2 linked regions of the Mytilus edulis genome follow. The protein of the gene in region 2 interacts with the protein of the main gene of each other region in a pairwise test. Links are inferred from orthologs where the notes say so. Each region holds a gene or a part of one and is shown on either strand. Other genes may lie near its edges.

The links.
Region 1: the proteins of tax1-binding protein 1 homolog B-like (region 2) and microtubule-associated protein 1 light chain 3 gamma-like interact in binary tests that used the Homo sapiens proteins (3 or more experiments, as listed by UniProt). The link is inferred for Mytilus edulis from reciprocal best matches to the Homo sapiens genes TAX1BP1 and MAP1LC3C.

The regions. Positions count from the first base shown.
Region 1 is NC_092346.1:23,188,411-23,196,075, reverse strand, and holds the start of microtubule-associated protein 1 light chain 3 gamma-like, read left to right. Parts: upstream 1-4,639; 5' UTR 4,640-4,767; coding exon 4,768-4,831; intron 4,832-4,867; exon of another isoform or gene 4,868-4,882; coding exon of another isoform or gene 4,883-4,910; intron 4,911-7,665.
Region 2 is NC_092345.1:32,307,526-32,315,527, forward strand, and holds the start of tax1-binding protein 1 homolog B-like, read right to left. Parts: upstream 3,052-8,002; 5' UTR 2,944-3,051; exon of another isoform or gene 2,900-2,943; intron 1,391-2,899; 5' UTR 1,384-1,390; coding exon 1,335-1,383; intron 1-1,334.

The DNA.
Region 1 (7,665 bases), on a different chromosome or scaffold from region 2:
TTATGGTAAGTAAACCTAGCTGTTTTTGTACATTTTTCACGACTTCATTTAACACCCTCTTTTTTAGAGGTCGACTTGAACATGTACACATGTAGCAAGAGGTAGAATCTATATAAGGGGGTGCTATGCCAGTGCTTTGTGGGAAAACTTTAGTTGATTTATTGAGGGAAACAGTACTGAAGCGTCCATCTCTAAAGAAGTCATGCAGTGCCCTCCCTATCTCATCCCCCTTATGAAACTTCTGGATATTCATGTCTTATTCTTACAACTTTTAGGGAAACAACTTTCCCAGGTAAAAAAAAGGGGAAGCTGAGCGCTCACATGTTAAAATTGGCAAATTTGGTTGATTATATAGGAATTACTGAACCTTGGCTGGAACCCCCTCCCCCTTTATGAAAATATCTTAATCCGCCACTAGACTGTTTAAATAAATACTGTAACAGGGTAATTTATGAAGATCTTTTTTTAAGATACTTCAGATACTTTTATTTCACTAATACATAGGCGTAGCAGGCCCATAAATAATGGTACGTTTTTTGGCAAATTAGACATATGGGACACGGAAGTGTTCCGCCAGCGTCTTACTGCAGAGGGTATGGGAGCCGCTCAAGGCCCCCAGAAGCTCTGGGGTTCATAGCGTTAAAATCCTGCATTCTAGTCGTTTCCTGCCACTAAAAATCGTTTCTGAAAAGCAGCATTTTTTACTCGACAATTTGAAAAAAATCAAGTATATTAATGTCTGTGTCTTGCAGGTTTTGTAGTTTGTTTCCATTTTTGTGTCATTTACAAAGCATGCAATTATTGCGCAAAATTCATTATAAAAAAAAATAAAAGGCCAGAGGTTCCTTGCTACAAGTTAGGACAGGCGCAAAATTGCTGTAATGTAAACTTTTAAGATAACCACTTCGTCAGTAGGGGGTCGTCTTGGCCTTGTAAGTTATTTTTTTTTGAAAATCATGCAGCGACTGTCAAGATGAAGTACTTAAATAAATCACTATGTTCTTGCAATAATTTGCATCTTGTCTATTTGTCAAGAGTGTTCAAATTGGAAAAATGAATGTTACTAGTACTAAGGAAATGACATATTTCATTGATCTTCAATCAATCACATGCATGGCGACAATTTGTTTTTCAAGGGAACGAGTTCAATTCAACCACTATAAAGAACCCTTAGTTCATATAAACTTTAAAATCAGTAATTGTGATATAAATGTAACGCTAAACGGGTCTTTGTTCTGTGTATTTTGGACAGTCATTATTTTGGATATATGTATCTGGGATCTAATCCTTCTTGCCCGTTTACATAAGGAAATAGCTATTAAATATTTCACCATATATATATAGACTCACTACCGTCTATATACTAGTAACGAAGTCTGTTTAATGTTCACATGTTTAATCATATAAAAGTACATGTATATATATGATATATTTAAAAGGTTCACAGCCCAGGTTCACAGTTATAAATTCCAATACAAAACGTTACTTAGTTCCAACTCTATAAAACAACATGTTACTTCATTATAATCTATATCGCAACTTAATTGTTACTTCAAGCTACTACACCAATATAAGTGATCAATGCAAAGTTTCTTACAAAATCGTGCTATGAACCGCTGTCCTTAAATTACATTAAACCTTGCTTTGATAAACGTCCAAATGTTATTACAATTCTACTATGCAACTAATGTACCGTACATGCAAACTGTCACATTTAATATTAATCAAGATGAAAGATCATTCAACAAATTAAGTATAATTGACCATCAAATCTTTGATGTAGTTGACCACGCCACATCAATGTTAAATTTGTGAAGTGTAAAATATTTACTCGCCTATGTATATGTATATAATATGTAGTTTCCATTTCTCGTTTCAGCATTTTATTTTTCAAACATTGGCTATACCTTTCATGTAACTATTTATGTGTTGCTTATGAATTTAATTGTAACACTTCTTAGTGACTGGTTAGGTTAAACCAATGCCTTCCTAGAAAACTATGACACCAATGAACAACACCAGTCTTTTTGCTGTTCCTGCTAATAATGTATGCATGGCTTCACTAGAAAAGGCATCAATTCTTTGGCTTTCCTGGTTGAAGGATTTGTTTTTACAACTCCAGTGTATACACAATTGTTACCATAGTATATAGTTGGTTGACCGTTATGGAATAACCGTTTCATAGATGATATGGGATATGTTTCTCACGTCATAACTACAATCCTCTTCCCTTTTCATGAATTTGACTTACTGTATAAAGCTAGTTAAATCGGGTTTGTAAAAACATGAGCAACCCGACGGTGCCACTGTTGGACATTTGGAGCAGTATCTGCTTACCCTTCTGGAGCACCTGAGATCATCCCCAGTTTTTGGTTAGGGTTCGTGTTAATTGCTCAGACTGTGTTTGTTTTCTATGCTGTTTCTTGTGTACTTTAATTTGTATATTTCATGTCGTGGTGTTATCAGTTTATTTTCGATTTATGAGTTTGCCTGTTCCTCTGGTATCTTTCGCCCCTCTTGAAGTCTATAACTTAGAGAATGATGAAAAATGATAGTTTTGCAATTCAAAATATGAATACAATATAAGGCTGGTTAGAATGCAAACCAATCAGCTTGCTTAATATCTAATAAGTGCCACCAAATATGCAGACATTTAAGACTGGGGCAAACCATACACAATAACACAAGCTTACTAAAAAACAGCTTGGTTTCACAATACTAGAATGTATGTAAAACTGCAATTCAATAAAACATAGATTGGTATACAAGCAATTAAAGCTTGTATGTATCCATGCAAGAAAAATAAGCTTTCACCGTACACCAGTGTTGCATGCAAGAATACCGTGAACTGAAAATGTCAAACAAATATGCAAACTTTTATGTTCCAAAGGGTATAGGATTATACGTTGGTATACCGACAATCAAACCCATGAATTCCATTGTTTTACAAGGGTTTATTGAAAAGCGGGTTAGTATACGGGAATTAACCCCTGAGTGTTGCAGTTAAGAATTAAGAGCTTTCTTTCAAATTCAAATGAAGTTGAAGGCTATACATAAGTAATTCAACCTTTTCATTTCACAATCATACACATCTCCTTATTTTCTAAGGGAGGTATGCAAACATAATTAAATAAGAAATGTTACTACTCAGTAAATACTTAGCATTCAGGCATACAGACTTGCCAATACAAACATGAATCCAGAATAAAATTTTAGAATCCATGAAGGCATACAAGTACCTAGCAGAAAAAAAGCCAAAATAAATTAAAAAAAAAATCGGTTTACATATCCCAGGTTCGTATACAGGCATACAGACCTTAACTATGCCAAAATAAATATATTAAAGGTTCTAAATACACCAGATTTGTATGCAGGAATACAGACCTGACAAATACTTATATACGCAGAAAGTGAGAGTTTAACATACACCAGGTCGGTATGCTAGCATACAGACCTGACAAATACTTGTATGTACATAGAGTGAGTTTTTAACATACACCAGGTCAGTATGCTAGCAAACAGACCTGACAAATACTAGTATATATGCATAGAGTGAGAGTTTTGCATTAACCAGGTCGGTATGCTAGCATACAGACCTGAAAAATGCTAGTATATGCATAGAGTGAAAGTTTAGCATTAACCATGTCGGTATGCTAGCATACAGACCTGAAAAATACTAGTATATGCATAGAGTGAGAGTTTAACATACACCAGGTCGGTATGCTAGCATACAGACCTGACAAATACTAGGATGTGCATAGAGTGAGAGTTAAGAATTAACAGGTCGGTATGCTAGCATACAGACATGAAAAATGCTAGTATATATGCATAGAGTGAGAGTTTAGCATTTACCAGGTCGGTATGCTAGCATACAGACCTGAAAAATACTTGAATATGCATAGAGTGAGAGTTTAGCATTAACCAGGTCGGTATGCTGGCATACAGACCTGACAAATTCTAGTATACACATACAGTGAGGTTTTAGCATACACCAGGGTGGTATGCAGGCATACAGACCTGACAAATACAAGTAAGAGAAAAAAGACTTAATTTAGCATTCTTTTCATTGAAACATCTGAAATAAAGATGGGTAAATGCTATGTTATGTATATATTTCAAAAATGACATAAAAGTATAACAAAAATGCAGAATGAGTATCTTTTTAAGGTTTATTTACTTGAACTATTTCCTTGGTGTTAAAATAGTTCATTCTAGCATCCTATGAAAAAGGTTTATGATAAAATGATGAAATTTTGGTTCGCATTTACAAAGAAAGATCACAAATCTTGCCAAAAGATGACAAACAAATATTGTTAATGCTATACAGTGAGTTTTTAACGCGAAATATATCAATAATCCCAAATGTTGTAGCCTTTTCACACAAAAATAAGTTAAGTGGCATATGAGAATTTCTAATTTTAGATGAGAACGTGTTCAAATGATGAATACTTTTAGCTAAAGATGAATATTGGATGGGGGTTCTGTGTATTTACATTATTTGTACAACTCTCCTTACTGATGCCATATTTTGGAATTTCCGTGACCTAAATGGTTCGCGAAAATTAATATTTTTTATATATAGTATAGTAATAGTGGTGGGCCGAGTTTGTTATAGTCCGAGTTAGCTTTAGGCCGAGTTATTCAGCGGCGTATCCTAATACCAAATAACGACTATGATTTTCTCTGAACCTTGGGTTTTACGTCATAACCAGCTGATGACAGATTGAAAAGTGTTCGCAGTTAGATACACACAATATTAGTGGTAACATGCCTGAAAGGCAGTATAATACGGCCGAGGGGGCTAAAACATTCAAACAGAGAAAGAGTTTTTGTAAGTACACGATACAGCAAAATATAAAAATGCCAATACAGTAATCGAGTAATGACAAAGTTTTCCCAAGTTATGACAGGTACATTACAGTTCATCATAACAAACGGACAAATATGGCTGTATTTACATGTCAAAAACCTGGGTACAGACTTACCTGTGAAGTTGGAAATGTTTTCATGCATGGCATCCACTAGATATATTAAATTTAAATGCATAATTTTTGTGTTTCAGAAAGATCTCTTTTGGATTTTGATGGGCATTTTTTTCCCTTCATGCATGAGGTGTGAAAATTAACTATTAAAGTTGTGGTACAAGTTTGAGTAGCTGTGCCGCAAATAGTCAAAAAATAACATAAGGACCTAAGAGCTACGGTTCCGCAGCTAAAGTTTGAGATGAGCCCTTCAGGTAAAAACCGGTTTGTATTGTTTTGATTGTCCTCAATTGACATGGACAAGAGGTATCTTCACACAACTACAGGTGAATTATTCAGTTAAAGAGTTTATCTGAGTCAGTGAGTGGACAGTATCAAAGCTGAGACTACTATAACACATAGTAGTCTCAGATCAAAGTTAATAAATTCAGGTGTTTGTTTATTTTTACACCTTCTGCAGAAAAAAAAACCCCATCAAAAACCAATGCATTTAACTTTTATATATTTAGTGGATGCTAGGCCTTAAAACTTTCCAAACAGCACAGGTAAGTCTGTACACGGAGAAGTTTTTGAGGTGAAAATTCTGCCATATTTGTCCATTTGTTATGATGAACCTTAAAGAGTAGGGGAAAAACTAAGAGAAGACATGGTTATCGATTATTTGGCCATTTTCAAATATATAAATCTTGAGTTTCATTTCAAGGAATGTTAACACCATCAAGACAGTGTCTATTCAGAGACATGTATTTATGTCTCTGGTCTATTCTATTCTTTCCATTGCCAATATTTTATTAGTATTGACAGAAATCAAGTGCCTGTGCTGTGACCTAATACATGCCTAATGTAAAAATAGGATAGGTATTAAGGACCCAAATAGGACCTACATGTACTGAAAAATAAATGAAAATGTGCAAAAAAGTTATATATAAATACATGTGTGATACATGTCATTAAGAATGTAAACTCAATGTCATATGACTATCCCAAATTCTACCAATCATGCCAATAAAAATCATAGGAGGTCAGTAAAATGAAAGTCAAATATCAGCATCTTAAACGAAGTTGGAATGAATTTTACAAGTTTCTTTAAACTTTGAGTACATATTGTATCTCAAAAAGTCAGCAGTTTAATATATGTTTTTGAATTAACAGTTTTAAAAAGTTTGTTTAAGCAAAACTAATGTTAAAGCATTTGCTCAGACTTATTTATTTGATAGACAAATTCAACACTATTATGCCATTGTGACGGGCTTTGCCAAAGATTTTGTTGAATTTATGATAATGGTCTCACAAAATATTAGTACATTGTAATTTGTACTAAAAAAAATACTAAAGCATAAAGACATCATTACCTCAAAATGGACTGGTGAGGGTCTGGATGGTATGCAGAATAGAGAATAATGTGCAGAACTTAATTATTGGAATTCAGCTGCATATACATTTTCTCCAGACAAATGCTCTAGAATGGGATAAACTGAAAAAAGATACACGTCAACCACAAATCCTGATCATGTTCACATATTCTGAATAGAAACAGCTACAAAACATTTATGGGTATCCCGGTAAACATACGATCAGACCTCAAATAGAATACCGGTAACAATGAAGATAATATCAGATTGAATGAAAGATGACAGCTGAATATTCTAAAGCAATGTTTCCTATCCATGATTCCTGGTAAGGTTTGTTCATAGAAAAGGATGGATTTATGGCCTCCCATAGAATAATATTTGAAGGTTCAATAACTTTCTTATCATATTGATCATTACATAATAAAGTGGAGGGAGTGAACCTAGTTCCAAGAAAGATACAAGCTTGTCGTTGCTCTAAAGCTCACAAACCAAAAACACTGTAATTTTGTTCATTAGTCATGTTAATCAGTACAGTGTATGTGTTTTCATAACTTTAGTTTAAGTGAATAGAAATCTATGAAATTTAGACACAAGGTTTATGACCACAAAAGGAAGGTTGGGATTGATTTTGGGAGTTTTAGTTCAAACAGTTTAGGAATTAGGGGCCAAAAAAAGGCCAAAATAAGCATTATTCTTGGTTTTCGCACAATAACTTTAGTATAAATAAATAGAAATCAATGAAATTTAAACACAAGGTTTATGACCATATAAGGAAGGTTGGGATTGATTTTGAGAGTTGAGGTCTGAACAGTTTAGGAATTAGGGGCCAAAAAGGGGCCCAAGTAAGCATTATTCTTGGTTTTCGCACCATAACTTTAGTACATGTATAAGTAAATAGAAATCTTTGAAATTTAAACACAAGGTTTTTGATCATAAAAGGAAGGTTGGGTTTGATTTTGGTAGTTTTGGTCCCAACTGGTTTTTAGGGATAAGGGGTGCAAAGGGTCCAAAATTGAACTTTGTTTGATTTCATCAAAAATTGAATAATTGGGGTTCTTTGATATGCCGGATCTAACTGTGTATGTAGATTCTTAATTTTTGGTTCTGTTTTCCAATTGGTCTACATTAAGGTCCAAAGGGTTCAAAATTAAACTTAGTTTGATTTTAACAAAAATTGAATCCTTGGGGTTCTTTGATATGCTGAATCTAAAAATGTACTTAGATTTTTGATTATTGGCCCAGTTTTCAAGTTGGTCCAAATCGGGGTCCAAAATTAAACTTTAGTATAAGTAAATAGAAATCTTTGAAATTTAAACACAAGGTTTATGACC
Region 2 (8,002 bases):
AGGAAATTGTGTGAAAATGAAACACAAATACATGTATTTATTTTTATGAAGGAAATCAATACTACAATTTTCGGTTACCAGAGTGATTTAAAATTTGAAATAAGTCTTGTTAGGCAAAATAAAAAAGTCTGTGTGGTTCCAGTTACATCTGAAAAAAAGTTAGGGTAGGTAGGTGAGGATTTTTTTTTATTTTATGTTGGTTTTTTTTACATTGAGTCTATGGGAGCAACATTCTGACTTTAACAGTGCTTAATGAAAAAAGATAATAAAATCTTTAGGGTAGGCTATTTTTGAGGCAAAAAAGTAGGGAAGGTAGGGTTACTGGAACCACACATATATTTTTATTTGGCCTTACATCATTACATAAAGAAGTATTTTAATCATACATGACTTATCTTGTCAATTGATAAACAAAATAAAAATAAGCTATCAGACAAGATATATTTGACTGTTACACAATAACCATGATAATGTATCACCTTTGTTTATATTTGTAAATTTAAAGTTTTAATAATTTTACAATGTAAAGAATTCAAATATTAGCAAACAGTCTGAGAACTGATGACATATCATTAAACTGATATTTATTGTGGCGTTACTGCATTGCTTTTTAAGGTAAAAATCTGCCAATCATCTTTTAAATGTTGGGGTTTAACTTCTTTTATTTTTTAAATTACTCTAAATTATTTTAATTCTGTTCATTGTGAAGACATTAATTTGAAATTTTCACAGATAAAAACAGAATTAAGGTCACTTTTATTTATTTTAAGTTTGGTAATTATCAGTTCATGAAGACAAACAATAGATATACTCTAAACTATTCATACACATCAGTGGTGGATCCAGAGGGGGAGGGGTTCCAGGAGTTGGACCCCCCCCTTTTTTTTTTTACGATCAATGCATTTAAATTGGGACCCCTCCCCCCCTTTTGAAAATGTCCGGATCCATCCCTGCACATTTGTTTGGCCAAAGATTAACAAGAATCAATAATAAGTTGATATGATCAAATGATTTAGATGTAGATCATACACATATCATGCATGCACTTAAATTTCAAGTGGATAGTGTACCGGTACATGTTTGTACATTTAGGAAATTATAAGTGTTTGTAAACAATATGAATTGAGATAGTGTTCTCAAGCCTCTTGGCCTCTTTTAAAATATATCTTTTGGCATGGTTCTTGTTGCATAGTCTTTAGTTTCTATATTGTGTATTGTGTACTATTTATTTGCTTGTTTTTATCTTTTTTAGCCAGCCATGGCATTGTCAGTTTATTTTCGGTCTATGAGTTTGAATGTCCCTCTGGTATCTTTCACCCCTTTTTTATACTTACTTTGATCACTTTTGTCTACATCGGGCTCATCATCCATACCAAATCTCATTATTTATCTGTAAGCAAAAAATGCAAAAGCTCAGTGTAATTCACTAAATAGGATTAATCAGAAATGTTTGAAATGTTTTTATTTTGAAGAAATTTGAAGGATAGTTTTTGCAAAATAAAAACTAGAATCATGTCTTTCACCAGAAAAGATTGCCAATTTCACACACCATTAGTCATTACATGTATATGACATCATTTATCAGATAGAAGGTGCGTCTGTATGCTTGCTCTATTTAAAGTTTCCAGCACTTTCAGAATCGTCATTCTGTAGGGTTGTATAGAAGAATTTAATTTCAGTAAGTACGTTATCTTGATTCCCAGACGACTGAGGGAGGGTCACCATCTTATTAGATTTTAATTTCCTAAATATTTTGTACAGTATAAATCAAACTTTTCATCTGTTTGCTCAAAATGTGTTAGAAGTGACAATGCCTACATTTTCGTCACTTGGTGATAAAAGTCACATGACAAATTCAACTGCAGTTTTCCCAAATAAGGATAAGGTCTATAAACCCATGCTGATTCCAATTGCTTTTAACTATCTTGCTGCTGAAAGGACACATGTGTCCACACTGGCTGTGCTGGAGGAAAACATGTGTCAATGATTTAATTTATGCAGGCTTCTCATTACTGCTGTGTATTTTTCATATACATGTAAAAGATTTAACTGTAATATTTTCGTCAATGGCTCCAAAATGTAACGGTTATTAGGGCATGATGTCATTGTTGGGCATGTGACTTTAAAGACATTAAGCTGTCATATTTTCTGGCACACAAAATGCAACCTTAAAAAGCAACTGACAGCAAGAGGGGTAAATTTGTGATACAAATAGGTAAACTTCAAAGGAAACAGTTCGATAATACACCTTTAAGTTATTGCTATTTGTCCACCATTAATTACTGGACATCACAAAGGTTCCAGTAAAATTTTGACATCATAATACAAAATATCTGATGCCACTATATGGAAGTGATTATTGTATGAAGTCAATACTTCAAGTGGGGCAGATTCTCGAGTCATCTGTTATTCAGATGGAAGACTGGAAAACTTACAGAAGAACTCGGACATTTTTCAAATAGCAATAATGATGAACAAGGTGTATTGGTACCCTATAAAAATGTCAAAAAATCTTATATTTGAATCAAAGATAAACTAAAAGGGACCATTATCTTTATAATTATGTAATGTTTGTATGATTATTTTCCAGTATATTTATAATTTAGTTTATGGTAAACTATTTCCACAATCTTAATTTGTTCCAAATTGCATGACTTTGATGGCAAAAGTCATACAGCCTACTGTTGCAACACATATGATCTTATTGTTTTTCTCTTGCTTATGAAAATAAATTTCATTGAAATGGAATGTTTACTTTTTCTACAAATGGCTGAACAGCTGGCAACAAATAGGTCAATGTGTCAACAGACAACACATTTTTTTTCCATCACATAAATGACAGAAAAAAGACGAACAACTTACTGACCATTCTACTTTCGTGTTATAAAACCCGACTTACATTACGTTGTGTTCTTCTGTTTTGTTAGAATCAGTTATAATTACCTTTGTCGCGAAAGTAGACAATATACGTGTTTTCTAGAATGACAAATAATGTTTTTGTTGTGACGAAAATGTCTATTTTAGGAAATTATGGTCACGTGCTTAATGATTCGAAGATTTGCTATAAAGGGAGATAATTCAATTTTCCCGTACAAATTCATGTGAGTTCGTGGTCTAGTGGTTAAGACCGATGGCTACAGTGCTGAAGGTCCCGAGTTCGATTCTCACTCGGGGTGCTAAAAATATCAGTACATCAGAAGGGTAATTTTCACCCTCTCACACACATCTCTGGTACCCAGACCGGAGTTTAAACTAGAATGGGTACTTTGGGGGCCTCGGTTGGTCAAAGTTGTCCCCTACTTTGACCTGGAGATCAATCTTCTGATATCTCTCTGGTTTGTCTGTTTCCACCGAGTGGCCCGGTGGTTCTCTCCGAGTACTTCGGCTTCCTCCACCATAATAACAGACTTCCCGGTGTCCTACACGCTTCCTTGGGCGGTGTTGGGTGGGGATTGTTCTGGTGGTGGGATAATATTGTAAAGGACACATCTCCATTAATCCTTAGGGAGTGTACATGGATCCGCTGTACCCTTGCAGTCAATCAAGGGGTGCGTCTTAATTGGCGGAATCTCAGTACATACATTGGTCTTATTATTTTAAATAATTGACGATCTGTAGAATTAAGCATACCAACTTAAAAATAATATATCAAAAACTTCACATTACTGCATTGGCTATTTTTCAAGCTACCACTTTTGTGAATTAAGTAAAAGAAAAAGAAAAAAAGAAAAATCTGAGAAAATAGGCTATTTTTATCTACTAGACGTCTAGTAATGGACTTCTGGCTATATATAACATTCTTTAAGGAAACAAAAATAAAAGACAGTTTAACGAAACCTTTATCTAGTAAAGAAAAAGAAAAAGTAAAAAAAAAATCTTTAAATTCCTTATCTTTATTTTACCATTCAGTAGAAATGTTAGATTTATCTCCACATAAAAATGGCCAGCATGTTGAAAAATTGATTCGAACACAAAACAATATTTTTTTTTCTAAAACAGTTTCAACAATGCAATAAATTTCTCATATATATCTTTCTTCAAAATTCCCATCATCTCTCAGCACCCATGTAATTTTCTCACATTTCATATGACTTTTTTTTATTTGTGAATTGTTATTCTTTTAAAAATATTTAATATATTCTTTTTTCTTTTTTTCAGGGCAAATAAATTTGACAACAACAAAATAAACTGTTGAATTTGCAGATTTAAGCAAAGCACTAGCCCGATTTTGTACCGCTAATATTATACATTTCAAGTTGGCGGTATACAGTAGGTATAGGTACCTAGCTAATAGAACTGACATGATGTCACAAGAATTGTTGAAAAAAAATCAGCTATGGGGTTGCTACAACACTCCCCCCCCCCCAAACAGTTATATATACTTTCTTGATAATAAAATAAATATAGTCCCATTAATTTTCTGCGTACAGTAAACAAATGAAAAAAATTCTACACCACTAATGTTTTTGCATATTAGTTACTTTCTAGAATTGTTTATTATGCCCTTAATTGTTTATATATAATAATACAACACATAACATGTAAAATAAGAAAGACACGTTTGTCTTTAGTTTCCAACTGATTGAAAATAAATGTTCGTCGGCGCATACAAAAATTCACTTTGACCTTCACAACTGAAATTAAAACTGTTGCTGCCGTAATCCTATCACATTTGTTTAATTACTTGCACGATAACACATTTCTCCTTTTGTCTTATAACATTCTTAATTGTTTTCTTTGCAGTACATGGAAACCTTTGTTATTTTGCACCAAACCAATCACATTTGTTTAATCACTTGCACGATATCACGATGGTCGCCTTTGTTATTTTGCACATGACCAAATTTGTTTTGTTACCCGATCACATTTGTTAAATCACTTGCACGATATCACGATGGTCGCCTTTGTTATTTTGCACATGACCAAATTTGTTTTATTACCCGACACATTTGTTTAATCACTTGCACGATATCACGATGGTCGCCTTTGTTATTTTGCACATGACCAAATTTGTTTTGTTACCCGATCACATTTGTTAAATCACTTGTACGATATCACGATGGTCGCCTTTGTTATTTTGCACATGACCCAATTTGTTTTATTACCGATCACATTTGTTAAATCACTTGTACGATATCACGATGGTCGCCTTTGTTATTTTGCACATGACCCAATTTGCTTTATTACCGATCAGATTTGTTTAATCCCTTGCACGATATCACGATGGTCGCCTTTGTTATTTTGCACCAGACCAAATTTGTTTTATCACCCAATCACATTTGTTAAATTACTTGCACGATATCACGATGGTCGCCTTTGTTATTTTGCACATTACCAAATTTGTTTTATTACCGATCAGATTTGTTAAATCACTTGCACGATATCACGATGGTCGCCTTTGTTATTTTGCACATGACCAAATTTGTTTTATTACCGATCAGATTTGTTTAATCACTTGCACGATATCACGATGGTCGCCTTTGTTATTTTGCACATGACCAAATTTGTTTTGTTACCCGATCACATTTGTTTAATCACTTGCACGATATCACGATGGTCGCCTTTGTTATTTTGCACATGACCAAATTTGTTTTATTACCCAATCACAATTGTTTAATCACTTGCACGATATATCACGATGGTCGCCTTTGTTATTTTGCACATGACCAAATTTGTTTATTACCCAACACATTTGTTTAATCACTTGCACGATATATCACGATGATCGCCTTTGTTATTTTGCACCAGACCAAATTTATTTTATTACCCAATCACATTTGTTTAATCACTTGCACGATATCACGATGGTCGCCTTTGTTATTTTGCACATGACCAAATTTGTTTTATTACCCAATCACATTTGTTAAATCACTTGCACGATATCACGATGGTCGCCTTTGTTATTTTGCACATGACCAAATTTGTTTTATTACCCGATCACATTTGTTAAATCACTTGCACGATATCACGATGGTCGCCTTTGTTATTTTGCACATGACCAAATTTGTTTTATTACCAATCAGATTTGTTTAATCACTTGCACGATATCACGATGGTCGCCTTTGTTATTTTGCACAAGACCACATTTGTTTTATCACCCAATCACATTTGTTAAATCACTTGCACGATATCACGATGGTCGCCTTTGTTATTTTGCACATGACCAAACTTGTTTTATTACCGATCAGATTTGTTTAATCACTTGCACGATATCACGATGGTCGCCTTTGTTATTTTGCACCAGACCAAATTTGTTTTATCACCCAATCACATTTGTTAAATCACTTGCACGATATCACGATGGTCGCCTTTGTTATTTTGCACATGACCAAATTTGTTTTATTACCGATCAGATTTGTTTAATCACTTGCACGATATCACGATGGTCGCCTTTGTTATTTTGCACAAGACCAAATTTGTTTTATTACCCGATCACATTTGTTAAATCACTTGCACGATATCACGATGGTCGCCTTTGTTATTTTGCACCAGACCAAATTTGTTTTATTACCCAATTACATTTGTTTAATCACTTGCACGATATCACGATGGTCTCCTTTGGTATTTTGCACCAGACCAAATTTGGTAATTACCCAATCACATTTGTTAAAAAAAAAATCGCAAAATGGCATGAGCACATTTCTCCCTTTTGTCTTATCACGTTCCTCCTTGTTTTTATTGAATCACATGGTCGCCTTTGTTATTTTGCACTAGACCAAATTTGTTTAATCACCGCATTACATTTGTTTAATCACTTGTATGATAACACATTCACAGTTCTCTCAATTTCTTATCACATTCTTCATTGTTTTCGTTGAAACACATGGTCGCCTTTGTTATTTTGCACTACACCAAATTTGATTAATCACTTAAATGATAGCACAAGCACAGTTCTCTTATAATCTTATCACATTCTTCATTGTTTTTTTTGAATCACATGGTCACCTTTGTTATTTTGCACATGACCAAATTTGTTTTATTTCCCGATCTCATTTTTTAGTCACCCGCATGATTGCACAAGAACGGGTCTCTTATAATCTTATCACATTCTTCATTATTTTCGTTGAAGCACATGGTCGCCTTTGTTATTTTGCACTAGACCAAATTTGTTTAATCACCCAATCACATTTGTTTAATCACTTGTATGATAGCACAGTTCTCTAAATATCTTATCAAATTCTTCCTTGTTTTCGTTGAAGCACATGGTCGCCTTTGTTATTTTGCACCAGACCAAATTTGTTAAATCACGTGTATAAAAGCTCAAGCACAGTTCTCTTATAACATGCTTCATTCTTCATTGTTTTCGTTGAAGCAAGGGGTCGCCTTTGTTATTTTGCACTAGACCAAACTTGTTTAATCACCCAATCACATTTGTTAAAAATCACTTGTTTGATAGCACCTTCACAGTTCTCTCAATATCTTATTACATTCTTCCTTGTTTTCGTTGAAGCACATGGTCGCCTTTGTTATTTTGCACCAGACCAAATTTATTTTTATTACCCGATCACATTTGTTTAATCACTTGCATGAAAGCACCAGCACTTTTCTCCTTTTTCTACTCACATACTTCCTTGTTTTGTGAAGCACATAGCCGCCTTTATCATTTTGCACTAGACCAAACTTGATTTATCACCCAATCACATTTGTTTAATCACTTGCATAAAAGCGCAAGCACAGTTCTATCAGTATCTTATCACATTCTTCATTGTTTTCGTTGAAGCACATGGTCGCCTTTGTTATTTTGCTTCAGACAAAATTTGTTAAATCACTTGTATAAAAGCTCAAGCACAGTTCTCTTATAAGCTTATCACATTCTTCACTGTTTTCGTTGAAGCACATGAAGGGTTGGCAAAAACCCGGGTTTTATGAGTTTTGCCCAGCCCAGTGGTAAATACTGGAAAAACCCGGGTTTTACTGGGTTTTAGTGGGTAATACTGTGCAATACTGGGTAATATAAAATACTGGTCTGAATTTTATAGAGGATTTAGTGATTAAACACAAA